4 linked regions of the Notamacropus eugenii genome follow. The main gene of each other region encodes a partner of the protein of the gene in region 3 in a complex. Links are inferred from orthologs where the notes say so. Each region holds a gene or a part of one and is shown on either strand. Other genes may lie near its edges. The genes, in order: BCAS2, SNRPD1, RNF113A and GPKOW.

Region 1 (7,387 bases), on a different chromosome or scaffold from region 3:
AATGACAAAAGGGACAGTTTTGGAGAAATTTGAGATGACTTGTATAAACTCATACAGACTAAACTAAGCAGAAACATGGGACAATTTACATACTGACCAGAATACCATAAACTAAAACAACTTTGAAATACTTCAGAACCTAGATCAATTCAATGACTAATTACAATTACAACACATTTTCAAACATTGGCTAGACCAAAGTTCATTTGTTTTCCCTAAGTCACTAATTTCTTACAAAGAAGGACTTCTATCAGAGCTGGAAGAATTGGTGGCTAGTGATTTTCAAAACTTTTTATTTTGGTAACTGTTGAAGAAGAGATACCTGAATATCAAATACACTCTTGTGTTAATGCCCTCAGTAGTGATATTTACAAAATGTTTCTGAAATTCTGTCCTTTGTAAAATTAACCATAAACAACATAATCAGTTTGGTTAGCTGAAATTCACAAGTTACAACAATGATCATCAACAAGAGGAAACTGGGATTCTGTCCTGTGTTCCCTAGCACTTTTCTAGATAGGAAGACAAAAAGTCCACTCCCACCTCAAAAGCTGAGTAATCTGGAGCAGGCAGGTAACTCAGATAATTCTTGGTTGGCCGGTACCGACGTGTTTCCTCCTCTACCAAGGCAGCAGCCTAAGGAAAATGGGAAAAATCTCAGGGGAGTTTATGTAGCAGGCAGAAAGAAAGAGAAGTGGAGGAAAGAAAAAGAGAAAGCAAGTGTTTCTAGAGAAATCATTTCAAATAATTCTGCAGCAGAAAGAGCACCAAATAAAATCATCTCTATTATTTAAAATCTATGCAGCTGTCAAAGGGATTTTCTAACCGTACACTTTCTCCATCATCTTTAGGACCAATCACAAACTCCTTTGTTTGGATTTTAAAACCCTCCAAAAGTGAGCCCTGGCCTGCCCCTCCACCCTGGCATAAGCACTCTGTGGCCCAGGCAAAGACCTTCTTGCTCTGTTTCCTCTCTCTAAGCCTTTGCACTGGCTGTCATCTTGGGCTGTAAAGCATTTGCTCTGTTGCCTCTCAGAATCGCTTTCCCCCCTCAATACTCAATTTAAGCACTGCCTTTCTACGGGAATCCATTTCTCATCATTCCTGATACTGGATTCTTTTCTTCTTTAAAAAAAAAAAAAAGCCTAGCCAGGAAAGGATTCTGACTAAATTTGTGACTTCATTAATATAAGGCTCCAATGAAGCTCCACATCTCCTCTGCATTTAGAGGATTAGAGTTGTAGAGCACTGAGTGGTTAAGCAACTGGTCCAGGGCCACACAGCTGCTATGTGTCAAAAGCAGAACTTCAACCCAGGTCTTCCTGGCTGTCTATCTAAGTCAAGCTGCTTCTTCTTAGTATGCAAATTGTGCTTAAAATACTAATGTGTTTAAAAATACTAATTTGCTGGTTGGTCAAATGTTGAGGTTCAGGGGTGCTGGGGCCCCCCCTAATACCGACACCTGAGACCTGCTTGAATGAATTCAACACAAGCCTTGTTAAAGTCAGAAAAGCAAAGTTTATTAAAGATTCACCATCTTGGGTTGACTCTTAAGGAGCCTAACCCATCAATACCAGCGGTCCAGAAAGAAACTCAGCTAGACAGAGTCTGTGCTGGATTGAACCTGAGCGCCTTCATAGAGATGAGATGGAACTCATATACAGAAAGTCCATAGGAAAGATCTAGAGGTGGTCTAGTGGTCTGGAGGGAGGGTCTAAAGAGGATCTTGATGCGACTGGGGTAACTAGTGAAGTAATCCAGGGTGGGAAGTAGCTGGAAGCAATTGGGAGATATCAAACAATGCAGGGCTTGGGTGGGATGTAGGTGGGGCAATCCAGAGGTAAGAGATAATGGAAGGCCAGGCCAGGCCAAGGGCAACAGATTTGAGTATGAAAGGCCAGGTTAAGTGGGGAGATTCAAGGAGATTCCCAGAGTCTGTACCTCATCACAAAAATCGAAGTCCAGTCTGGTTGGATCTCAGCATGTATGTTGAGGAACAACGTAACATAATCTTGGAAAGGTAGGGTAATGCCAAGTTTTAGGAAGGACTTTAAAGCCTGTCAAATCAAAAGTATGAAGCATCTTCTATGCATAAGATGCTAGGGATGCAAAGAATGGCAAAAAACCAGTCCCTGTTCTCAGTCTAGTCTAATTTGGGAGACAACACACAAACACCTATGTTTGTATATACAGCACGAATTCAGACATATTTATTTGTAATTTGCACTGTGCACAACTAAGGGATAAATGGGAGAGGGAAGGACTGGGAGAGGCTGCTATTTTGACTGGGAGCTAGAGAGGCGGGGGAAGCCAAGAGCGGGAGACGAAGACTGAATTACAGGCACGGGAGCAGCCCGCAAAAGCCCACGGAGGTCTGGGGAGAGAACAGCAACGAATCCTGCAACTCTGCGGGGAGAAAAGCCATACAGGCGGACTCGGGAAAGTTGCCGCGGAGGGAGAGGGCCAAGAAGGGCCCCACGGGGAGGGGGGGCTGGGAGCGGGGGCGGGGCGAGCGGAGAAGGGGCGGGCCTCGCCGGCAGGAGAAGCGAGATCCGGGAGCGAGGGAGGACCGGGGACCCGACAGTACTGGGGCGCTTTGTAAATGTGAGGGGACGAGGCAGGGTCGGAGGGAGGGTTGTATACTCACCGCCTCCCGCACGCCAGGCGCTTCGTAGCCCTGATCGAAGTACGGCAGGGCATCTACCACCACCTCTCCAGCCACAAGGCCAGTACCCGCCATCCTGCGGCCTCAGCCTCTCGCAGCGCACGCCTCCAGGTCGAGCCGTTGGCGCCTGCGTTGAGGAAGTTACTGATCGTGCGCGTGCGCAGTCTTCTCGCGCGTGCTCAGATGCAGTTGCTGAATAATTAGGGTTGACCTTTTGCCAGGAATTTTTCTCCCGTTTTTTCGACCCGACTTCCCCAAGCTCATGTGAGGGGATGATATGAATTCTTCAAATCTCTTTGATTCAATGTGTCCACTGAAAGCAAGTCGGAGACGTAAAAAAAAAAAAAAAAGCCCCGCCCCTTCGGTTAACACGAATCACGTGACTCGACGTCTAGGTGAGGCGCTAGACGCTCTTTTCCCGGCATGCTCCGCGAGAAGCTGGACTCCGGTGGGGTCAGAGGTTAAACCTGCCTCCGCCGAGTCTTTTCTCAATTCCTTCTCCTCCATGGTACCGATTTCTTTCTTCCCCAGCACCTGATGAAGTGACAGCAGCAGCAGCAGGTTTGTAGCAAGTTCTTTCTGCGGCCACAGCCACAGAGGGCCACGCGAGGAGCCCCGTTAGATTCGCATCGGGACCGAAGGGGCTGACACCGAGTGGGCCTCTATGCCGCTCCATCCAGGCCGTGTTTCCGTGTCCGTGCTTAGTGTAAGTCTCCTCCGGCATCTCTTTTGTCACGTGTAGACACAACTCCCCGGCAGGATTTTGAGGTGGGCCTAGGGAGAGACCCTCCCTCCCTTCAAGACTGTTGTAGCTTAAAGGGACGTGGGACTTTAATGCGGCCTAGCAGGAAAGAATCCGTGTTCGTCAAGTCCACCTCGTTTTTACAGGTTGGGATGGAGGCCTGCTGCCTCCGTTTTAAAAAAAATAATCATTTTAACATCTATTTTTTAACATTTTGAGTGCCCAGTTCCCTCTCTCTCCCAGTCCCTCAGCCATTTGAGAAGCCAACACCACCATGGCAGTTATACATGTGAAATCGTGCAAAACATTTCCGTATCAGCCGTGTTGCACAGAAAAAAGTAAAAATAAGTGACAAAAGCTTGCTTCCGTCTGCACTCAGTTCGTCAGCGCTCCGGACGTCGTTAGCATGTTCCTCCTTGAATCCTTGGGAAGTTAAGCATGTGATGTTGTTACCGGTGTGATGGCCTCTATGCCCATTCTGCTGCAGACAACATAACAGAACGAGAGGGATTATCCCGCTGACAAACCCTGACACGGAACCACGTGCCCAGCACTCTGCAGATGCTGCATCCGGCGATTCCTGGAGAGACTATCCATCCGTACTGGCATAGTTTGAATACGCTACTGGACCTCCAGTCTTTCAGACCTGCCAGTGGGTGAGATGGCTTCTGGCTTCTCAAGGCACACAAAGCTGGGCCAAAAAAGTCCTACCCGCAGCCAGATCTTGTGCCTTCAGATCCAGGTCCTTTTCTACCATACAACATTTGTAAGAGTATTCATTCATTCAGCACTGTGCCAACTGCGTAGAGCATGGTTCTGGGTTCCAGGTGAGAAGAGGGCAGTACAACATAGAGGTCCTATGTGAGGCAGGAATTGGTATTTGAAGTAAGGAAATAGGCTCGCTGGAGGAGTGTGTATTAGGTATAGTAGAAAGAATGCTGGGCTTGAAGTAAGAGACCCTGGGTTTGAACTTTGCCTTTGTTACTACCTGTGTGTTTAAACCTTACCTTCCTCATTTGTAAAATGAGGAAATTAGACTAACTGAACTCTCAGGTTTTCTCTACTCCAAAAGCTATGATCTTAAAAGTCAGGCTTCAGGCATTCCATGGCACAACTATTTTGTACTTAAATAAAGTAAAACACTTCTCAAAAGCATATGACTTTTATTCCATTCAAGAAAAATGACTTTTTAAATGTTTTTATTTTTTGAAACATTATAAAATCTGTAAACAACTTTTTATACAAATCTTGAGCAATTCTGCTATCACAGACGTACCCATGATCCATAGTACTTTACAAAAATAAAATACAACAGTTCAAGGAATCATCCTCAATTTAAAGGGCATAACATTGGACCCCATCCCTGAGGCAGGGGGTCTCCTCACAGAGGGACCAACAGGACCCAGCCTGCTATATTTAACTTAGTTTTTCTTCCCCCCACCCTCACACCCACCATTTTATTAATACTCTGTTTTCCCATCAGAGATTCCTTTGGGAACAGCAAAGGGGTGAAGTTCTAGAAGGGAGCAACTGGACAGATGTTTAATCTAACAGGGGCCCTGTTGGGATAAGATGCTTACTATACATTTTAAAACAGACATAGGGCTAGCTTTCCTCTCCAGGCCCAGATTATAGGAATTATATTATACAACATCTACCATCAAATGGTGTCTGCTTCAGATTTATACAGGTATAAGCTACCTGATTAGGCAGCGAAGGCAGATCCTAATTTGCCAGAATAACACAACAAACTAACTGACACAAGTTCATTGCTTGTGAGAATAGCAATGAAATTTATTCTGAAAAACTAAAATTTTGTTAAATTTGAATAAATATGTTTGTGCCAGTTAAATATATCCATATTGGATGGATTCCAGAGTCTGAAAATTAAACATAGTGCTACTAAATGCCACTCTATTCAAAAACAAGCACTGCTTTGGGTACCAAGAGTCCAGGTAGGTAAGTGGTATGACCCTAGAATGAGGTTACATTTCCATGAGGTTCAGCTCTCCCATAGCAAAAAACACAAGGTTTAAGGAGAAACCCAAATTTTGAGTCATTCTGCTGGGTACAGAGTCCCCTGTCCTGAGGGCTAGAAAGTGGCACTGGTTCATTTTAGTTTGATAGGAAACATCTCTAATAACCATGATCTCACAGGGCTGAGTACCCATGTGAATGGACTACAAGATGCCTATCCTGTAAGTAAAAAGTGTTGAAAAGTAGGACTTTACCCACCTGAGTGGGATCCCACAAAAAAGAACATCAGACAAAAACATGAAGATAATATTTGGCTTGGGCCAATCAAAGCTGCCATAGAACTCAGTGAAGGACATCATCCCACCATTCCCACTTACCCTAAAATTTACCATAAGGCTCATGTTCGCCTAATATGTTCATTTTAACTGAACATTAACAAGACTTTCTTGAGAAAAACAAATTCCCTATAGTCCAAGCACCAGAGAATGAACCTAAATATTAAGAAGTAGAAATGTTTTCTTTCCAAAAAAATTGGATATAAAATGAAGACAGCATTGATTTCAGACCACCCTCAAGAATTCAGCTGTGACTCCAAAGTCAGTATCTGGGTAAAATCCTCAGACTGACTGCTTCCTTGAACCTTTTAAGCTTTTCCAAGGCTTATATAGAATCCTAGTCAGTAAGTACATCCTGGTACCTGGACCTGGATAGCATTTCCTGTTTCATTTCAGGTACAGAAATTCAGGTTTTCATTTCTTCTGCAGAAATTTCATTTTATTTCCTAAGGGAAGAAGTAAGCATAGGATACTCTTAAATCACTCATTTCTATCTACTATAAGGCTAATATTTACTCATTGTTTATTCAGTTCTGCCAAGTGCAGAGGTAAGCTTGTCCATAAGTCTGTCAATTGATCTGCGTTCTTAGAACACAAATTCTAACGTTTGCCCAACTAAGTACAGAATCAGCATTTTAGACCTGAAAGATCTTTGTAAATTCAAGGATTTTTAACCTGGGTCAGTGCAATTGTTTTTCACAATATTTAGATAATATTTTTAAAAGCTATCTATAAAAACCAGATTGCCAAAGGTGTCATGACAACAAAGGTTAATAATCACTACTTTAGAAGAGAAGGAGGAAGGGAACAAGCATTTACGGTGCCTACCGTGTGCCAGGCACTGTGCTAAACACTTGGATCTCTTTAGATTATCTACTCTGTTACCTTGGTTTATAAAGGAAAAGAAGTGACTTAAAGTATGTTTGATTAGTATGGATTAGGATTAGGGATATATATTCCAAAACCAAATAAAAATGTATTTCTTTTTCGGAGGATAGGTGTGATTTGGTATTTTGGTTTGGCAGTTCCATGTATGCTCTTCCATAGATGGAGATAATTAAGAATTGACTACAAGCAACTAGGAATCTGAAAATAATATTGTTTAAATTTGGAGACTAAGCTAAGATTTGTCTAGAAACAAGAATTCCTGTTCTGTGCTAGGTCCCTTCTATACTCAGGTGTTAATCCTTTGGTTTGTAAGGTAGGGCAAAAGTAGCTGTCTGAAGGAGGTGTCCCCAGAGGACCACCTTGGGCAAAGATCAACTGATCCAGGCATGAAAGGGAAAAATTCACAACTACTTGGATGTTTTTTCTCCTTCAGGACTCAGGAACTAGGGAGTTGTCTTAACAGGATGACACATCATTAGCAAGGCTTTTCTAGGTTATTAGCACTTAGACATTTTATGCATCTCAATATTTTATGGTATCTTTGAACTGTGGCATCATGAAGGTTTTCTAACCATACTTAATACAAACATAATAACTTACCAAGACTTCGAAGGATCTTGTTCACCCCACTGGGTTCAGACTCTGGAATTGCTTCCAAGTACTGAATGGCCCGGACTTCAAAAAGGCCTACGAGGGAAATTCATATTGTTGAAACCAACTTACATTCAAACACTGAACTAATGCAAGAGAACTTAATTACCTTTCTTTGAACATGCTAGA
Region 2 (7,207 bases), on a different chromosome or scaffold from region 3:
GCTGCTTGAAGTGCTGCCTGACAACCTCCCTTTTTGGAGAGTGTCAGGCAGAGACTAGACTAGATGTCATTATTTGTCAGGTATGATGCAGTCTGGATTTTGTTTGTCCAGATTGAACTGGGTGGCTGTTGAGATTCCTTCCATGTCTCAAATTCTGTCATCCCCTCCAACAGCCCTGATCCATTAGCTCTCCTCTAAGTTCATCCTGTGTGACTCAGGTAGACCAGAGTTCTATTTCTGCCTCAGTCACTTAACGGGCTTATAGAACTCAGCAAATTACTTAATCTCTCAGCCTCAGTTTCCTCATCTGTAAAATGAAGATAGCAGCTACTTCAAAAGACTGTTGTGAGATTCAAGCATTTTGCAAAACTTTAAGTACTATATCAATATTAGTTACTACTATTATGTAAAACTAGAAAATATCAATAAAAATTTAAAAAAGACAAAATGTTGCTTTTAGTGAATGGAGGTTGACCCAGATGTCATAAAATAAATCATTACTTCTAAATTAAAATACATGTTTTGCATATTATAGGGGACATTTTAAAATTTCTTTGGCTAAAATTTCAAACACAGGGTCTACTGCTTTTCAAAAGCCAAGTATTTTGGTTGCTCTAATCTCTGTTTACATAGATAATATAATGGCATATCCAGGTTTTTATCTGTACTTGTTTTATCTTCTCATCACATTACATTTTGGGTTTTATGGAATGATTGTCCATAATTCCAACAGAGGAATATAGGATAAGGTAACCCAACTTATAGTTAATATTTGTCTTTGGGGAACTGGAATTTATTTTCATTATAAAGTAGAAAAATTAAAATTTGGTTTTCCTGTCCTAACTTTTAAAAATACATATTCTATAATCATTCAGAATATTCCATTAATTTTTCCTTGAATGTATTAATTCCCTTGTTTCATGAGTTGTGTTGGTTGGATACCTGTAACAAATTTTTTGGAAGACAAGGTGTTTCACAGATAATACAGAGAAAGACACGGGAGTTTTCGGTCTCTAACAGGTTCACTCTTAATCTGGTCAGACAGGCAGACAACTTTGGAGGGATTAATAATCAGCTTTATTCTAGTCTAGTCTTCTCAAATGATTGTTGGGAGAACCAGCTCCCACAGCATTCCTTAATCACCCTTCTCAAAGGGAGTGGTGGGGGCAACTACCCCTAGTCTCAGCGGGGTCAATTGAGACAGGGATAGCTTGTTCACTCTCTTAAATCCCCTCAAGCCTCAATGGGGGCTGGTTGAGGCAAGTACATGTATTCCTTATGTATGTATGTGGTTTTCCACTCATTGCCCACTGCCCACTTGCTTCATAAAGCACTAGACAAAGAAGGCATCTTTCCAACATTAAGCTCACAGGTTAACTTTAGCAAAACTGTTATTCTGCACAAATGTAGTAAATGTCACATTATGTTACCCCTTATCTCCTGGAGCAGCCTCGGTAGGCCTCTCTGTCACTATGATTCTGAGAATTAATATCCTTGGGGTTATTCTGGGATTTATTTTCTAACACCTGGAAATTAGACATTCCCATGGCCATGGATCCTGAGAAACTAAACTAAAAAAAGATAACAAAATCCTCCTTCCATATACATGGACAAGAGCCACACAGGATAAGCCAAAATGAATGATTTCCATCTCTGTCATTAGGAGGAATACTCTCATCAATAAGGCTTCTATTCATTTGAATTCAATCCATTTTCATAGTATTCTAATGTAAAATGATTATCTTAGTAAGTTCCCAGCATTCTTTTGTACATGGGGTTATATTCCACCCTATTAATTTATTCACTTCCACTATGCAGTGGGACTATATTTAGTCCTGTTATTTTTACATTTCTTACTGCTGATCAGCAAAGCATGTGCTGTACATAATCAAGGTTTTATATGCCTCTTAGATCCTAGGATACAGTTGAAAGGGACCTTAGAGATCATCTAGTCCAAACCCATCATTTTATAGGTTCTGTCCTTTTATGATGCAGACATTTTGGTGACTGAAAGGAGCAGAAAAGGGACAATTGTGTATGAGCACTGATAAAAATCAGCTTGAGAGGAAATGCAGCCCATCAGATAAAAGTACTAGGGGAGAAACAGAGACTTTTCTAAGAGGACCAGATAGAACAGTCTCTCTTATGCTGAAGCTGGGGATGGCTAGAACTCATTGCTATCCATCAGCTTATTTACATATGACAATTTTCAGTATTTTGAAGGAAACAGGTGAGAAGTTATAAGAGCAGCTTGTGAACTCTGGGAAAATCTTCAGTTTGTGCCATATCGATAGAATTGTGGATTTTGTTTTTTTTTTCAACCTGAATCAGAGATGGGGCACTACTCATGAAGAGCGCCTGATTAAAAGTCAGAAGTAACCAGAGAAAAAGCAGGAGAAGGGGACAGAAGACTTAGAAAATGACAAGGGAAGCAGCTCAAAGAAGATATAAGGAAATAACAAGCACTGAAACTAGCTAAAAGACATGCTTTGTAGTTGACGCAGGGAACTATTTGATTGGAAGAGAATGCTATAGCTATTGCAAACTGACTGAAGAAAGGCAGAATCCTCTTATGTAAAGAAGCGTTCTGGGTTTATTGCCTTTTACCAACACTCCTAGCCTGAGAGGGGAAACCTCTCATATTGTTACTGTTCTCTACCGTTTTAGACGGGGAAACCCTAAATCCTACAAGGAGAACAGACCTCATTAGTACAGCTATTTACATACTTAAGGGAACTGTGTTTCAGGAAAGAATGTAATATATGTTGCTAAAAAGAGCATCATACTTTTTCACCATCCTTCCATGAGTGACAACTCACTAAAAGAGCTTCCTTTAAGTCCCAACTAAAAATCCTTCTTTGGGAAGTCTTTCCCAACTCCGCTTAATCCCGATTCCTTCCGCCTTTTACTTATTTTCTATCTACGTAGCTTGTTTGTATATAGTTATGTATCATTTTCCCAAATTAGATTGGGAGTTCCTTGAGAGAATGCCTTTCTTTGCATCCCCCGTGTTTAGCACAGTGTCTAGTGCATAGTAAGAACTTCATATATGCTTGACTCACTAATATGCTGAATTTTTCTTCCTTTTAGCTTTTGCTCCGTTTGCTGTGTCTAGAATGTTCCCTTTCTTTGCTTGCTGAATGCCTGACTATCCTTTAATGGCTTGCTCCAATGCCACTCTTTCCACAGTCTTACCTGATCCTCTTCCCTTCTCACCACATCCCCATTACAACTTTTATCCACCTACTTTAACAACCGCCCCTTCTTTACACCTTGGGGCACTGTTTTGCCACTCTGTGCATTACCTATCCCCCCACTCTCTATGCTTGCCTACATCTTCCCAGGGAACAAATGAAACTTCATTAATTCAGACCCCACTGCAGTAGATTTGTGTAGTTAGACAAAAAGCACCGCTTTCTGGGTAAAACTTCTGAATTAAGTGGCTTATCTTCCCCTGCCCACCCAAGGTGCCACAGTTATAAATGGAGATAGATAGCTTCATTCCCTAAAACACAACCCCATACATTTGCTTTTTTCAAAATTCAGCTCTTCATGAAATCTTTTGATTGATTTCACTTTTGCCTTTATTCCCAGTGCCTAGCAGTAACTGTTACTTAATGAATGCTTGATGGATTTAATTTTAATATATTGCAAACACAGACTTGTTACGAATTACATTTTTTCAATAACTAATATCTACTCTTTTCACTTGTTTCAGTCCTTTTCAGTTATGTCCTAACTCTTGGTGACCCCACTTGGGGTCTTCTTGGCAGAGATCCTGGAGAGGTTTGCCATTTCCTTCTCCAGCTCATTTTACAGATGAGGGAACTGAGGCAGACAGGGTGAAGGGACGTGCCCAGGGTCACTCAGCAAGATGATCCTTCCTGACGTCAGCCCAGCACTATCCACTCTGCTACCACGTACACACATGTAAGTATGGGCACAGATCCATCAGGCACAGTTCGGAAATTCCAATAAATGGGATTCCTTCTTTAAGATCAATTACAGAAAGCACTTGTTTTTGCTCAACTTATCCAAACTTTGGCTTTGTGCATCCCGGGCAAGACGGGAGTATGACCGATAACCTGAGGTTTTTACTAAAGAGGAGAGAGACATTGCTTTCCCCCAAGACCAACAGTGAACATCCCGGCCGAGCTCTTGCGGACATTTGCACCGTCGCCCTCCAGGGGGAGCCGCAGCAACAACATGCTCCTGGAAAGTACCCGCTCCCCCCGCCTCAGAGCCGTCTCGAGTTTTCCTCCAGTCGGGTTTTCTACTTCCGGTTCTCTTGGTGGAAGTGCTTCCGGCCATTCATTCCCTCAGCCCCTGTTAGCGCCCTGGGGTCGTGATTTTGCGACCTGTAAGACCGAAAAGTCGACGGCTCCGTGAAGGATGAAGCTCGTGAGGTGAGGAGACGGCGAGAGCGCCGGCCGCCGCAGTAGGGTCGGGTTTGGAGGTTTGTCGCCAGACGCCGTGCGGCCAGTCAGAATAGGCGCCAAAGTGGCGTGTGCACGCGAGATAGGCCGGGACAACGGCGGCCCTTCCCCGCCCTCGGCCCGCTCTCCCGCCCGCGCGGCGCCTCGCGCTGCGGCTCGTGCCCCGAAAACGACCGCCCTGGGCGGGGCGAGGCTTCCCTCCTCGCGACCGGCGTTGTGCGGCCGTTGTCCGACGGGGACTCGTGGGCCTGGCCGTTAGCTTCTAGGCTCTCGCGAGACGCCGCGGCGCGGGTCCTGGGCCCCGGGCCCCGGGCCCCCGGCCCCCGGCCCCCTGCCCTCGCTTCTGGGGCCCTTTGGTCTGGGCCTTTCTTAACCCTGTTCCAAAACCGTCTGACCGCTTTCACGTGGTGGAACCGTAGGGTTAGAGCTCGAAAGGACTTAAAAGACAGGGGGCCCCCTCGCCTTGCCATTTTACGCTTGAGAAAAGTGAGACCTATGAATGCCAAGTGGCGTCCGGCTCCTCCGGCGCTAGGCCCAGTATTGCGCCTTCCGCTTGGACCCCGGGGGCAGGGCCTGGGAATTCGGGGGCGCGGCAGCGGGCAGGAAGAAGCACCTGAGAAACGGACGGGGGACCCCCTGGGTGGCTTGGCCTTTGTGTTTTCTATCGGCTAAAGCCCGAAAGCCGAGGCGGGGTCTGACTACTAAAAACGTCAGTTCCTTCAACTGGGGCCTTTACGGAACTTTACAAAATGCCTGGGCCCTGCGGTCCATTATTTGGAAACCCATTATACCATTAGATGTCCTCTCCTTCCATCTTTGGCTGTTTCTACCCAATTCAGCATTTCCCACAGCCCACAACTCCTTAGAATCGGATAAACTTAAAGGATTAAACTTTACATCAGATGGTTCCAGTTAAAGTTTGAAGGAGTCATTGAAGCCAGCTTATTACTCTGAGCCAGCCGTAGTATTCGAAGCACACACGGAGAGTCGGGGTGTACCAGGTTTCCAGATCCCAACTCTGCACTGTTGGGAACTATAAAGTGCTACGACAGGTTTTATATTTAGCCAGTTTCTCCTTGTCTTCTAGCATTAGAGCACAGTAATTGCCTCTCAGCTGCATTTAAAATGATTGCTACATTTCCTTAAGATAAAGGTATGATTCAGACTAAAGCACTTAACTCTGAACCCACTCAGATGTAGAGTAGACTAAGGGGAATTTTCTTTCAGCTTTAGAACTCCAATCTTGCTTGCCCCTCGGAAATATAGAGGATGCTTTTGTCTAAGATATCTTTTAAAAGGAAGAAGACAGGGTTCAATTCAGGGAATTGTGCAGTAGGGGAACTTCATTCAAGAGAGTAACTGAATAAAATCAATCTGAAAAAATATCATACAAAAATTTCTATATTTGCCAACCCTGGAAGTGGTATGTATAAGTTCTCTGTGTCTAGAGAAATGGGACTAAGAATCAGAATTTGAAGTTTTGGAATGTAACTTTTGTATAACTACCCAGACTCACTCAGATAACCAGATGTGGCATTTGTAGACCTCTTTTGCAAGATGACTGTGCTTAACATTGCCCTTTCTGCTTACTTCAAGCTTTTCATCAGTCAATAAACAATCATTTATTAAGTGCGTTTTACTAGGCGTACAAGGCAAAAAAAAATCCCAAGCAGACCCTGCCTTCAAGGAGCTTATACTATACTGGTAGAAACCAATATGTATCCAGACAAAAATGATGAAACTGCCCTTGCAGTAAAAGGGACAATGGCACTCTACTTGTATTTAAAGAATTTAGGTGCCAGTTTATTGCACTGCCACCTCTGTCTGCATGCTATTGGCCAACTCACTTAAGCTCTGTGAGCATCCATTCATTCATCTGCAAAACACAGAAGGTGGACTAGATTTCCTTTAATGTTCTTTACAGTTCTAGATGTATAGTTTTTTTAATCAGATATGTGAAATTTAGTGTTACATGGAATATTCAAATGGATCTTTAATTGGGTTAGATGTTCCCTTAGTCTCTGCAGATTACAACCACCATTCCTTGTTGGTACTGTATACCTTTTGTCAATGTCATTCCATAAATTTGACGGTGTCTAACCATTATACTAGAGATCTGTAATGATGGGGTACAGATTCTGGGAACCCCCTTGAATCTTCCCACTTAATCTTTTTTTCATGCCCAAATCTGTTACTCTTAATCTAGCCTAGGTCCTCCATTGTCTGTTGCCTCCCCATTGCCTGCTGTTTCCCACCCTTGATCACATCAAAATCCCACCCTCTTGGTTCTGACCTCTTGTCACCTCAGTCTCAGCAAGATCCTCCTTACATTCTTCCTCACGACCCTCCCTAAACCCCTCCTCCCATCACCCCAGACTACTAGACCACCCCCAGATCCCTTCTACAGTCTTTCTGTAATTAAGATTCTTGTCTCCTTGAAAGTGCTGACATTCATTCTAGCTCAGATTCTGTCTGGCCTGCTTGCGTGTCACAAATCTTGAGGATTCTTAAGAGTCAACCCAACATGGTGAATCTTTAATAAACTTTGTTTTACTTTGGCTGAAAGAAGGCTTAGGTGAAATTCATTCAACCAGGATCTAGGATGTTGGCATTTTGGGGTCCCAAGCACCTCTAACCTTAACATTATGGTTCTTTGACCTCAATATTACTAAATTTCTCCTGACTTAAAAAAGGTGTTGGAACACTTTGAGCGGGGGTGGAGAACTTGTGTCCTCCTGGCTAATTGTGGCCCTCTAGATCCTCAAGTGCAG
Region 3 (5,993 bases):
AAGAAATGATGCCCTTCTATTCCCACCTTTGTCCATTAAAATTCCATGATGCTGCCTATTTGAGAAACACTATCCTGCACAGGACACAGGATAGTATATTTAATCCTTCAGAGTTTTACTGGGAAGCCTGTGAGTTAGGACAAATGCACTATTCTTCACTGTGCCCATTTTACAGATGAGGAAACTGAGGTAAGAATGGTGAAATGACTTGACCAGGGTCACTGAGCTACTGAGTGTCTGAGGCTGGATTTGAACTCACGTCTTCCAGAGGAAATTCACCCTGGACTTTTTTCTGTCCCTAAGCTACAGCTTTGGCACCCAAGAAATGATACCCATTTATTTCCACCTTTGTCCATTAAAATCCCATGAGTCTCCCTAATTGAGAAATATCCCCCTGCAGACCAAAAATAATATGACATTTAAGGCTTCAAGGTTTCACTGGCACCCCAGTGAGAAAAGAGAAATGCATTAGTCTTTACTATGCCCATTTCACAGATGAGAAAACTGAGGCAAAGAGGCCGAAATGACTTGCCCAGGGCTACGAAGGTAGTAAGTGACTTAGGGTGGATTTGAACTCGGATCTTCCACAGGAAATTTTTCTAGAACTCTTTTCTGTCCCTTACCCACAGCTTCTGCACCCAAGAAATGATATCCTTCTCTTCCCACATTTTCCATTAAAATCCCATGATTCTCCCAGATTGAGAAACACCACCCTGCATGTCACAAATAATATTACACTTAATGGTTCAACATTTCACTGCAATCCCATGAGATACAGTAAATGCATGGGCCTTGACCATGCCCATTTTAGAGATGAGGAAACTGAAGTAAGGAGGGTAAAATGACATGTGAAGGATTATTTAGCTACTCAGTGTCTGAGGCTGGATTTGAACTCAAATCCTTCTAAGGAAGTTCTTTCTCTACTGTCTCCTGCCCCTAACATACGGCTTCTACTCTCAACAAGTGAATTACTCTTTACTGGGCCCATTTTATAGATGACGAAACTGAGGCAAAGAGGGTGAAATGACTTGACCAGGGTCATTTAGCTACTGAGTTTCTGAGGCTGGATTTGAAATCATGTCTTCCAGAGGAAATTCACCCTGGACTTTTTTCTGTCCCTAACCTATAGCTTTGGCACCCGAGAAATGATGCCCTTCTAATCCCCTCCTTTGTTCAATAAAATCCCATGACTCTCCCTAATTGAGAATCATCCCCTTGCAGACCAAAAATCATATGACATTTAAGGCTTCAAGGTTTCACTGGCATCCCAGTGAGAAAGGATAAATGCATTAGTCTTTAGTAGGCCGTGTTACAGATGAGGAAAGTGAGGTAAGAATGGTGAAATGACTTGACCAGGGTCCTTTAGCTAGTGAGTGTCTGAGACTGGATTTGACCTCAGGATACAAGTAATATTATACTCAATGCCTCAACGTTTTACTGGCAACCCTGTTAGATAAGTCAAATCCATTGGTCATCACTGTGCTCATTTTAGAGTTGAGGAAACTGAGGCAAGGAGGGTAAAATGACATGCCCAGGGTTATTAGGCTAATCAGTGTGTGAGGCTGGATTGCAACTCAAATCTTTCTGAGGAAGTTCTTCCCCTACTCTCTTCTGTCCATGACCAACAGCATCGACTGAAAAAAAATGATACCCACCTATTCCCACCCTTGTCCATTAAAATCCCATGACTCTATCTAATTGACAAACATTCTCCTGCAGAGCAGAAAAAATATCACATTTAAAGCTTCAATGTTTCACTGGAACCTCAGTGAGATAGGATACATACTTTACATACATTCTTTACTATGTCCATTTTATGGATGAGGAAACTGAGGCAAAGAGGGTGAAATGACTTGCCCAGGGTTATTTAGCATGTTACTGTCTGAGGGTGGATTGGAACTCGGGCCTTTCTGAGGAAGATCTTGCTGTACTGTCTTCTGTCTATATTCCACAACTTCTACTCTGAACCAATGATATCCATTCATGCCCACCATTGTCTATTAAAATCCCATGACTCTCCCTAATTGAGTAACATCCTCCTGCAGACCGGTAAGAACACTACATTTAAAGCTTCACGGTTTCATTGGAACCACAGTGAGATAGGCTAAATGCTTTAGTCTTTATTATCCACATTTTACAGATGAACAACCTGAGAGCCTGAGTCATTAGGTCACTTGCCTTCCCTCACTGGAAATGTATGAGAAAGGGTTTGAACCCAAGTCCACTAATTCTATCACTCTTTCCATTATGGTGTCTATCAGTCCATCAATGAGCATTTATAAAGTACCTACTATGTGCTAGGTATTGTGCTGTGTTTTCAAATAAAACAGTTCTTGCTCTGGAAAAGCTCACATTCTGAGAGAAATAGCATGCACATATACAACCCACCCTAGACTCTCACCTATCAACTATATTATATATGAGGCAGTAACAAAAGCTAAAAGGGACAAGGAAAGGCCTGAAATAGAAGATATTTTGGGTAGGATTTGAACCAGTGGTCTTCTAGAATCCAAGTCCAGTACCCTATCCACTACACCATTCCACCCTCTCAATAGACGTTGTAGATTATATGACATCTGTTGTTATTTAACTGTGATCCCTTCTAAGGGTAGGTCTAGTATCTGACTCATCTCTGTATCCCCAGCACCTAGCATTGGCCCCTGTACACAGTAGCTTAATAACCGTCTGCTGAATAAATGGAGTGAATATAGTTTGTGGGAAGTAGATGGATTCTCTCCTTTCCATTTGGCCTTGAACCTCTCTATCTTAATCTCTATTTCTTCTTGCCACTTTCTTTGTATCTTCCCGTGATTTTCCCACTCCCTTCCACAGCCAGCTCAGGAGCTCCTTTGCTATTACTAAGAGCCCTTCAGCTGTCTTCTTTTACTTAAAAAATAATTTACACATTTATATAGATATGAATATTATATATTTACATATCACTTTCATTTCTGAATGTCCCCCAACCTCCACCTCTACCTAGTGAGCTATCCCTTATAAAAGAGAACAGGAGGGAAAGAAGAAGCATATTGGCAAAAACTCACATATCTAAGTCTAACAATAAGTATAGCAAATGCTCCACACTCATAGTGAGGGAGGGGAGATAAAAAGGGGATGAGCATTTATACAATTCCTACTATGTGCCAGGAAAAGTGGCTAAGCTCTTTTAGAAATATTATCTCATTTGATCCTCAATGGCAAGCCTGGGAGGTAGGTGCTACTATTACCTCACTTTTACAAATGCAGAACCAGGGCTAGCAGGGGTGAAGTGACTTGCCCAGGGTCACACAAATAATAAGTATCTGGGATGAGATTTGAATTCAAGTCTTCCTGACTCCATGCCCAGTACTCTATTTATTCACTTCACTGCCTCAGATCCCCTATCTCTGTAAAAAGGGGGTTCTCATTTTCTCAGGCAACCAAGTGTTGCCTCCAACATTCTATTTACATTACAGGAAGGGAAACCAGAGCTTCTCCCTCAGTAAAATGGTATTTTGGCCAGAAACTAAAGAGAATACCCCTTTACTTGGAACAGAAAGGACTTACTTTCTGGCATGTCACCTGTGTGAGGAAGATGGAAAGCTACTAATGGAAAGGGCACTGGATTTAGAATCAGAGGACTTGAGGTTGAATCCTGTAGGCCCTTGGATATGTCACTTCACCTCCCTAGGACTCAGTTTTTTCCTCTGTAAAATGAAGGGGGGAGGGGTTGAATTGGATAGGCCCCTGGGTCCCTTCTAGTTCTAATTCTAGGATCCTATGGGTGACCTGAAAGAAGTCCCTTCCCTTCGCTGGGCCTCAGTTTCTTCCTCTGTAAAATGAGGAGGTTAGACTCGATAGCCCCTAAGGTCTCTTCCAGCTCTAGAGCAAGGACCCTGGCCAATTCCCTTCCCCTCTCTCCTCAGTACGGATTGGCCTCAAGGCCAGCTCGAGATCTCTGGGTCCTTTCTCCAGTCTCGGAGCCGCCCCCGGGCTGAGGAGCCCAAGGAGACCACCTCCGGGTCCCAGCTCAGGTTTGTGGGGCCCTACCTTGCCGCCATTGCTGTACTTTTGAATAAGCGCGGTGGTAATTCCCGGGATCGTCAGACACACGCCCATCACGGCCAGTCCCGGCAGAATTTCGAACCACATCTCGAGAAGAGGCTCGCGGCCACAGACAGTTTAGACACTGTTACGACGCCGGTCGCGAGATAAAGGTGACATGAGTCACTTCCCGTCCCAGCAACCCCCGCGCCGCTCCACCCCGCCAATCAGCGGCGACGACCAATCAGCGCCCGCCGCCGTGCCGTGCCCCGCCCGCTAGTAGCCTCTTCCCGACAGGAAGTGACGCCAAGACAGGAAGTGAATCGTTGGCATCGCGGAACTTCGCAGTTTCAGAAAGATCAAGATGGCCGACGACCTGTCTTCTGAAGCTCCGGCTGTGCCGGTGTGCACCTTCCTTTTCAAGAAGTCGGCCCGGAAAGGCACTGCGAGTCGCCGGAAACGGCCTGCCTTCGAGAAACCGTCGGGGGAAGGTGGCGGCAGCAGCAGCAGCAGCGATGAGGGCAACGTGGTGGTCCGGCGGCAGAAGAAGCGCCTGGTCCCCAACCCCATGATCCAGAAGACGCGCGGCAGCTACCGGGAAAAGAAGGCGCCCACCTCTTACAGCGGCGGCAGCAGCGGCGGCGACGACGAAAGCGAGCCTTCCACCGTGAGTGTCGTCTATAAGTCCACACGCTCGGCCAAGCCCGTGGGCCCCGAGGACATGGGCGCCACTGCCGTCTACGAGCTGGACACAGAGAAGGAGCACGATGCACAAGCCATCTTCGAGCGCAGCCAGAAGATCCAAGAGGAGCGACGGGGCAAAGAGGATGATAAAATCTACCGGGGCATCAACAATTACCAGAAGTACGTGAAACCCAAAGACACTTCCATGGGCAACGCCTCATCCGGCATGGTAAGAAAGGGCCCCATCCGTGCTCCTGAACATCTGCGTGCCACGGTGCGCTGGGATTATCAGCCCGACATCTGCAAAGACTACAAGGAAACCGGTTTCTGCGGCTTCGGAGACAGCTGCAAGTTTCTCCACGACCGCTCTGACTACAAGCACGGCTGGCAGATCGAGCGCGAGCTGGACGAGGGTCGTTATGGGGGCATCGACGAAGACAACTACGAGGTGAGCAGCGATGAGGAGGACCTGCCTTTCAAGTGCTTCATTTGTCGTCAATCTTTCCGGAACCCCGTGGTGACCAAGTGCAAACATTATTTCTGCGAGAGCTGCGCCCTCAGTCACTTCCGCACCTCACAACGCTGCTACGTCTGTGACCAGCAAACCAACGGGGTTTTCAACCCAGCCAAGGACCTCATTGCCAAGCTAGAAAAATTCCAGGCAGAAGGGAAGGCCGTCATCTCCGATCCCTTAGAAAGCTCAGATGAAGGTGCAACCCCCATTACTTAAACCTACCGAATGGTAACAATAAAATCTCTCTCAAAGTTTAACATGAGTGGAAATTTCTGACTCAAGTGTCGCGGGGTTGGGGAGGGGGTGGAGGGACGGATGAGAAACAATGGGGAGGTCTGGATTACCTAGTGCCCATGAGGTACCATACTAAACTGGAATGGGGGAGGGTAGGCATAGGGAGGAGGGAAGACTTGGAATGCTTGGTACCCATTCTGGCTAAACTGGAGTAGTGTGGGAGAGGCTTGGAGTGCCTGGAGCCCATGAGGTACCATACTAAACTGGAATGGGGCATGGGAAGGGGGAGAAATAGGTATAGGGAGGAGGGAAGGCTTGGATTGCTTGGTACCCATTCTTCCTAAAGTGGGATAGGGCAGGGGAGGCTTGGATTGCCTGGTGTCCATGAGGTACCAGACTAAGCTGGAATGGGGGGGGGGGGTAGGCATAGGGAGGAGGGAAGGCTTGGATTGCTTGGTCCCCATTCTGGCTAAACTGGGGTAGTGTGAGGGGGGCTTGGATTGCCTGGTGCCCATGAGGTACCAGACTAAGCTGGAAT
Region 4 (7,601 bases), on a different chromosome or scaffold from region 3:
ATGAGCTTCAACTAAAAGGGTAAATTGATTGTTGTCTAAGCAAAGGCCCACCATCACTGAGTCAACACCACAAGCCAGTGCAACAAGGATTTTTGTGACCAATAACTTTTCTTTTTTCAATAGGAATACGCTCATAGGCATGGAAAGGCTAGCAAATTGCCAACAGTTCATGCAGCAAGCCAGCTTCCTGGGGCTAGAGCCTGGAAGGCCCTTAACAGACCACTCCTCTCTTTTCTAAGAAGGTCAAGAAACAGTTAGTAGGTGGTTAATTTGGATTCCCACTGGAAATGGGGGAAACATAAGGTGCCAGGTGCTGTGTGTACCAGGTGAGATGGCAGAGGTCACAATGGCCATCATTTACAACAGCAAACCTCCAAATCTCTGCAGTTTTCCAACGGTCCTGTTGCTCCTCATGACTTAGCTGAGATGGACCATCTTCCCCTTCCTGCCTTCTCCCCTTCCTCTCACACCCAGCATTGGGTTCAAATGTCACACGGCCCTTAGTGTCTGCCTCATTACTTTTGGGATTCTTCTCGGCTACATAATGCCTCTCTCTGCTCGTCTTTTCTCAAACCACCCTTAGAACGAACTGGGTAAAAAACTAGCGTGGTAACATGTGGCAATTTAGATAACCTTTCGCTTGAGTTTCCTCCAGAGGAGATTGTCTTCACAACTGATTCCTTCCTAAATGGAGGCTCTGATTTATTCTGATTGAGCTTCCAACTAGCACATCTAACTCCACGAAACCACAGCCCAGGTGGGAGCTAATTTATCTGGTTGGAAATTCAAAGAGGCAGTAATGTCTATGACAAAAGATACCATGGAATGGGAACTAAGAGGTATCAAGGTCATGTCCATACAAGGTTAAAATGAATGGATCCAGTTGAGACTGTAGGGATTGAGGTCCATATGTACTGGCAATGTAGGGGAGGGGTGGTGGGCTTTAACTGTTCCAAGAATTACCTGTGCGGAATATGAGAGGATAGTCAATCCAGTTCAGTAGGAACATAGGTAGAGGACTAGGTGAGAGTGAGAGTAATGAACTGCCTAGGATAGCAGTCTCTCTGTGGGGGGTATTACACACTGAGTAAGAATGAAGGTGTAAGGACACTTTGTATTAACCTCAAACATTAGCACCTCCACTCATTTCCCACAATGCCATTGGAATATGAGCCAGACCCCTGTAAGCCCAGTTCATAGACCTACACAGTGGATTCTCCAACAGCTATCCTTGGTGCATTTTGAAAGGACCGTTACTACCAACATTTCCAGGCCCAGAATACCGGCCAGGGATTCAATGACTTAAGTCCTAAAAATGAAGAGCTTTTTGGCACTGATTTTTCCCCCTCAATATTTCATTGAGATACTGTGATTATTCCTCCGTGAACTGTCTGAATGCTCAGTGATTAAAAATTTTTTTTGGAAAACTTATTTTTATTTAGACAAGAAACACTAACCAACCAAAGGAAGGCAGGCAGGCCCCTGTAATTTCCCCTTGTCTCCTTGGCCCCTGCCCCAAAGGGCCAAAGCATGATGATGGGCACTAACTAGGGGCTCTGCCAAGATGGCCTGAAGGCACAATGAGACAGACCCACAGACACCCCTCTGCCCAGTCTTGGGCCACATTACAATCCTCAGTCACCCCAGGAAAATGCAGATACTGGGTCCCTCTGATGGATGGGAGCCCTTCAGTCCTCTGCCACAGGCCCAACGTAGTGACAAACAGCGTCGTAGTCCAGTTGCAGGACAGTGCCCTCCCCCTCCTGCAGCAGCTGCACCAGAGCCCGGCTCTTATCCTTGTCTCTGCCCAGTAGCCGGCCCACCTGGCCCCGGTGGGGCCCCAGCACCACCATGACCCTGGCCTTCTCCTCCTTGGGGATGAGGGTCTCCAACATATCTTCTCGCAGCCCCTCGAGGAGCCGGCCCTCATCTGTCCTGCACACACACGTGTCCGGGCTCAGGACGTCTTCGATGATCATCTTGGTGTTGTAGTAGCGGCCCTTGTAGTGCCCTTTGTCCACGAAGCGCACTCGGAGGTCTCTGCGCAGCCAGTGGGGGGCCCGCTCCTCCGTGGGGGGCTGCTTCCTTTTCAGCCCCTTCTTTTCGGGGGCCCCTCCGTGGCCCGTCTTGGGGTCCCTGGCCCCCCGCAAGGTCTGCCTGTCATACTCCTGCCGGGAGACCGGCCTCAGGACGTGCTCGCTCAGGGTGGCCACGTGGCCAGCGGGGGCCAGCTTCACCACGGCCCGGGCGTTGTCGGGGTCCAACCCCTGCACTTGTCCGTAGAGGCCTCGGTGGGGCCCAGACAGCACCACCACGGCCCTCCCAGGGGCCAGGCCCACCAGCTCCTCGTCGTCCTTGGGGCTCCCGGGCTGGCTGGGCCCTGGGGGGCCCGAGGGCAGGACCAGGCTGGCCCCCAGCCCCAGCCCCTTGGGGCGCAGGGGGTTTTCCCGGGGCTTCACCACCTGCTTGAAGGTGCGCCCGATGCCCTCCCCCGGCTTCCAGCCCATGCCCCGGAGCATGGCCAGCCCGTAGGCCTCCACGGGCACCGCCTCGTAGTCTGCGCCCACCGACTCGGGAGCCTCGGCCGCGTCTCCAACCCGGGCCAGGAGCGGGATGGCCATGGAGCGGTCGGCGGCCTCGGCGCCCGGGCCCAGCTGCTCGGCCCGCTTTGACTCCTCGATCAGCTCCTCCACGGCCTGGCGGAGCACGCCGTCCTCAGGGAGCACGGCCTGGCCCGGGGCCGCTGTCCGGCCGTGGCCCCGCCGCAGTAGGGGGATCACCAGCTCCCGCGGCGCCTCCTCGGGCGGCCGCACACTGCGCAGCTCCCGCCCTTCCACGGCCCGCAAGAAGTCCTTTTCCTCCTCCGGCTGCCCCTCGCGGCCTTCGGCCAACCGTCTCCGGCTGGCCGTGCGGCTGAAGCCGAAAGAGACCGGGCCCGGAGGCCCAGGGGCCGCGGAGCTGGCGGCCCCCGCCTCACTATCCCCGTGCGCCATCGCGCCACCCGCAGCTTCAGGACTGACCTAGCGCTCAGCCTGCCGGGTCCTTTATGCAGTCCTTCCTCTTCCTGCTGGCTCGCGGGGCACGCTGGGTCTTGTAGTCTGCCTCACCAGTAGCGTCTGTTTGTGCGCGGTGGCTGCCGGACCTTGTAGTCAGTCACCGGTGGGGCTGTTTGCACTTGTCACCTTCTGGGTCTTGTAGTCCTCCATGCCTGCAGTTGCAGATTGTGCGCGAGGCCTGCTGGGTCTTGTAGTTCGCCCCTCCTGCTGCCAGGGTTTGCTCACTATGTCTTCTGGGCCTTGTAGTCGGCCCCACCTGCAGAGGCGGTATGTGCGCGGTGGATGCCGGGCTTTGTAGTTACCCTCCCCTGCACCCGTGGGGCTGCTTGCACTTGGCGTCTGCTGTTTGTTCAGCCTCCTCCGTTTGTTAGCGCGCGGTGGCTGCTGGGCCTTGTAGTCGCTCAATCCTCGTCTTGCATATGCTTGAACCGGGACCACCCGGGAGAACTTGATGCCCTTCCTTGATGTGTGTTTCAGAGGGTGGGCCACGAGCGGGGGACGGTGCACTAGGGAGAACAGTCTAGCCCATTTTCGACAAAGCAGTCTGGGCAAAGAAAGGCACCGGAGAAGGATGGCACGGTGTTGTCATACGCGCAGCCTGCCGGGGCTTGTAGTTTTCTTTCTCCACCTCCACCCACCCACGCTGGAGTCGCTGCGCATGCGCAGGATTCCTGCAAGGCAGGGTCCCCCTCCCCTTGCTGCTCTGGTGGTGGGGATGATGGGGGCCGGGTTGTGGGAGAACGCCTCGCCCTCTTCTCGCCTCTCTCTCTCGCCCTTCCCTCCTCCCCCCTAGGTGGACGATCCAGGTGGCTACTAGAGCTGCGGGCACGCCACGCCTCTCGGTGGTTTCCAGGCATTGGGGTGGGGGGAGGGGAAATTCGAGGGCGGGATTCGGACCCACCGCAAACCCAGCGCCCTCGGGGGCCTGTGTCTCCCCCACGCTGGACCAGCGGGGGAGGGTCTGCGCCCCCAATACCCCGTAGGCTGGTGGGGGGGAGAGTGTCCCCTGAATAACAACCAGGAGCCCTCCCCTATGATGTCACAGCCCGGAGCGTGGCCGTGCCCCGAGGAGGTTAAGGGGCCCCTGGCCCAGCCCTGTTGCCCGGAGCCATGGGTCAGGCTGGGCCGAAGGACGGCGCGTTCCCTTTGGATGCGAAGCAGACAAATGTAAAGAAAAGCTGGGGTGCAACTCTACCCTCTGACCTCCCTCCCAGCGCCCCTCCCCTCCCTCCGCCTAACGTCCAACTTTCTTATTTTCTGGGAAAAGCTTTGGATTCTGCTGGGTGAGAATGCCCACTCGGGCTTGCCCCCTGTCTAGACATTTCTGACTTTTGTTCCCCCTTCCCTGAAGGATATTTACTGCTTTAATGGCTCCATTCTGCAGACGAGTTGGTTCCTTTTACCCCTGGAAAGGTGACCATTGCTTCTTCCCTATCCCCGAGATCAACGCAGTCATCCATTTCGGTCGGGGCTCCCTGCCCAAGTCACTGCCTGTTTACCACCCCGCACAGCTGGGCTGCTCTTGAAGAAGAACCGTCTGCTAAGATACAGACTTCATCACAATGGTCTGGAAGCTGGACAGCTCCCTGCTGCAGAGCCTCCAGGAGTCTAACGTGCCAGACAGCGTCTGTTCCTGGTCTTACTTCCTTGTCTAAATAGCTGGTCGGGGCATTGCTATGCACTGCTGACCTGAAAACCTGGTTAAAGAAAAGGCAACAGGCTAAATGCGTACATTTCACGATTTAATTAATTAATTCCCTTTAAAGAAAACAGCGACAATGCATTATGGAGTCAGAAAAATATTCTGACCACTTGGTATAGAAATCTTCTGGCATATATATATTTTACCGTGAGTTACTGTGAGAAAGGAACTCTCTTAGTTGGACAAATTGTAAATTTAGTAAGATAATTAACAAAGTAGTATCAATTGAGTTGTATGATCCCAAGCTATGTGAATTTCCTATTTTCATATGTGTCTCTGACATAAGATAAGGAGAAAATCTCATCACTCTGATGGCAGACCTCCTGTCCTAAACAGGTCCTTGAAGTTGCTGACACAAGAAAGGGTATCTTAACAGAGTAGACAAAGTTGAAATTATAACCCAGGAATCTGTGTTTTTCCTTATCACTAAGATGCCAGGAAAAGGGTCTCCTAAGGAAATTACTAAGTCAGCCCTATTTGTTTCTCTGACAAAAAGACATTCTCTGAGTTTACTTAAGATAACAAGGGAGACTATTAGGTCCAGACTCTTCTTAATTCGAGCTTTGGCCCTTATTAAAGTCTAATATTTATAGTAAATATTATCAGCACTTACGGCTTAGATGATGTTTCAGATTCTAGAGTAGCCTTCAGTTCTGGGCAGAGTTCAGGGAGAGTTCAGAATCAGTTAGGTTCACTATTGGAACAAAACATTTGTCAATCACTTCATAGACAATTTAACAAGAGTTGTTGCTCTTATCATGGAAAGGCAGTACACACTTGTACAGAGGTGCTGGTTCTGGTCTCTGCTCTATCCTCTATTAACTGGAGCACCTTACTCTTCTCTTTGGGTTTTCATTTCCCCCTCTGGAAGTGAGTGTTGAATTAGAACGTTCTGGAAGGACCCCTTCATCTCTAACCTTTGGAGAGATGGCAGACTAGAAGCCACAATCAACCTTTGTATGAACATATCAGTCTGTTTGTTCATTATGCCAGGTTTCTGAGTATCCCCAAGCTAGGCAAAGACTTGAGGGTTCCAGTGAACATCATTGGGGAAGTAATCACAATTTCATTCTGCCCAAGGGTTGGGTATAAGGAAACAGAGCTAACTTCCATTTGGGAAGTGTCTGGTTGGTGGCTGATGTTCACTCTTCCATGTCCCAAGTTGTGTTGTAGGGTTTCCTTTCTACCCAAATGATGTGGTCCATGGGTACTTTATAATTGTCCCTCCCTTGCATGCTCTCCAGTCTTTACAGGGTCAGCTCAAAACCAGCTGTTTAGTCCCAGTCTTGACTTGCCATCCAGGAGTGTTGGGCAAGGAAGTCTTGGGTTCTGCAGTCTACCTGGATTTTTTCAGGGTTTAGGTAACATGAAATTCAAGACTTGGATGGTGAGGGTTTGAATCTCATTTTCCTTAACTGTAAAGTAGGTAGGATACCTATGGTACCTACTCCATACAGTTATTAAGGGCCTTGTCCATGACCCCACAGGTGGTGTGAGAGGTGGGTTAGACATCTGGATCACCTGGGCTTAGGTCCTTCACTTTCTCCAGTGCTAAAATGAGAAAGGAAATATAGCATCTTAAGACTGATGTTCAAGCTTTGGAGGCTCTAGGCTTCTGCCCTCTGTCAGCCCAGCCCTGAACTCTAATCTGCTGCTTTGGTTTGAATGGGGTCTCACTTTGTGAAGTTTTCTATCCTCTGTCAGAGACAAGGCCCATATCCTGAACACAAACTGCTAAGTCTTCAGCAGGCTGGAGGGGGAGACAGTTCATGTGACAATTATAGGGTGCTTAGGAAAACGGACTGTGGACCAAGTGCTGAGCAATGCTATCTCTCTTTAAAGTTTGCATGGCATTCAGAGTATCCAGAAGTGAGTAAGCTCTTCGATGGGGGATAGGACCACAAGCCAAATGAACGCTTGAAGAAGGCAGAAGAGTCTCCTTCTAGTGTTTGAAGGCCTGTCATGGAAAGATCAATTAGATTTGCTCTAAGCTGCTCTAGAGGGTAGAATTAGGGGCCATACACGGGTGCTGCAAGCAGAAAACTTTTCCCTAAACCAAACCCATACTTGGCTTGCAATGAGTTAGCCTAAATAGGACTGGGTTGTTTTGGGAGGTAGAAGGTGCCTCCTTGCCAACCATCATCTGACCCACTAATTAGGAGAAATGGTAGGTGAGGGACTTCTTGGTCAGGTACAGGTTTGCCTGGATGGGGACTTTGCCTGCTGGGTTTTTGTCATGCGTCCTTCGAACCAAAGTGTGTTCTCATGCCCTACAAAGGAAGCAGAATGGGGAGGGCTTTGATTGCTTTCTCTCATATTTACAATACTCATGTTGTCTGAGCTGCTGGAAATGAGAGATCCAAGCAGGTGCTATCTCTGACTTTCCAGTTGAACTTAGATCCTTGGCTTTTGTTTTTCCCAGGCTTTCTGAAAGAGAAGCTGGAAGTGCAGGGATCAGCTCTTGACTCTGAGACCAGCTTACTCCTCCCATCTCCTTTTGGACCCCAGGAGCTGAAAAGGGGCACAAGACACTGAGAAACAAAGTCCAGCTTTTTTCTGCTTCTCAAGAATTTATGCAACTCTATTGGAGAGACTAGGGAAAGCCTATATTGGAGAGGCCAGAGAGAATTGTGAATCTTCCCTTGCTTGAGGGAAAACATCTCTTTTAAGATGATGGGTAATTTTTCTCCCTTCTCCCTAAACCCACCTAGAAAATGCTGTGTCCATCTCGGGAGAAATTCAGATCATTTCTGAAGATTTTGTCCAATTTCCTTTCTATAATTCCTAGGGATGAGATCTTCACTTGGTTGGTTGGTTGTTGTCCTTCACCTTCAAAGAGGACC

What was found.
Region 1: RNF113A (region 3) and BCAS2 share a complex: the UniProt entries of both Homo sapiens proteins name them as parts of the pre-catalytic and catalytic spliceosome complex. The link is inferred for Notamacropus eugenii from reciprocal best matches to the Homo sapiens genes RNF113A and BCAS2.
Region 2: RNF113A (region 3) and SNRPD1 share a complex: the UniProt entries of both Homo sapiens proteins name them as parts of the minor spliceosome. The link is inferred for Notamacropus eugenii from reciprocal best matches to the Homo sapiens genes RNF113A and SNRPD1.
Region 4: RNF113A (region 3) and GPKOW share a complex: the UniProt entries of both Homo sapiens proteins name them as parts of the minor spliceosome. The link is inferred for Notamacropus eugenii from reciprocal best matches to the Homo sapiens genes RNF113A and GPKOW.

What each region holds. Positions count from the first base shown.
Region 1 is NC_092873.1:293,879,154-293,886,540, forward strand, and holds the start of BCAS2 (pre-mRNA-splicing factor SPF27), read right to left. Parts: upstream 3,016-7,387; 5' UTR 2,741-3,015; coding exon 2,648-2,740; intron 637-2,647; coding exon 544-636; intron 1-543. Other genes in the region: DENND2C (DENN domain-containing protein 2C), read right to left, coding at 6,134-6,165, 7,208-7,294. UniProt on the Homo sapiens protein: Required for pre-mRNA splicing as component of the activated spliceosome. Component of the PRP19-CDC5L complex that forms an integral part of the spliceosome and is required for activating pre-mRNA splicing.
Region 2 is NC_092875.1:245,365,731-245,372,937, forward strand, and holds the start of SNRPD1 (small nuclear ribonucleoprotein Sm D1), read left to right. Parts: upstream 1-4,195; 5' UTR 4,196-4,392; coding exon 4,393-4,406; intron 4,407-4,611; exon of another isoform or gene 4,612-5,589; intron 5,590-7,207. UniProt on the Homo sapiens protein: Plays a role in pre-mRNA splicing as a core component of the spliceosomal U1, U2, U4 and U5 small nuclear ribonucleoproteins (snRNPs), the building blocks of the spliceosome.
Region 3 is NC_092879.1:43,546,171-43,552,163, reverse strand, and holds RNF113A (E3 ubiquitin-protein ligase RNF113A), read left to right. Parts: upstream 1-4,297; 5' UTR 4,298-4,387; coding exon 4,388-5,437; 3' UTR 5,438-5,478; downstream 5,479-5,993. Other genes in the region: NDUFA1 (NADH dehydrogenase [ubiquinone] 1 alpha subcomplex subunit 1), read right to left, coding at 4,030-4,131. UniProt on the Homo sapiens protein: Required for pre-mRNA splicing as component of the spliceosome. As a component of the minor spliceosome, involved in the splicing of U12-type introns in pre-mRNAs. E3 ubiquitin-protein ligase that catalyzes the transfer of ubiquitin onto target proteins.
Region 4 is NC_092876.1:17,503,725-17,511,325, reverse strand, and holds the start of GPKOW (G-patch domain and KOW motifs-containing protein), read right to left. Parts: upstream 3,026-7,601; 5' UTR 2,994-3,025; coding exon 1,689-2,993; 3' UTR 1-1,688. UniProt on the Homo sapiens protein: RNA-binding protein involved in pre-mRNA splicing. As a component of the minor spliceosome, involved in the splicing of U12-type introns in pre-mRNAs.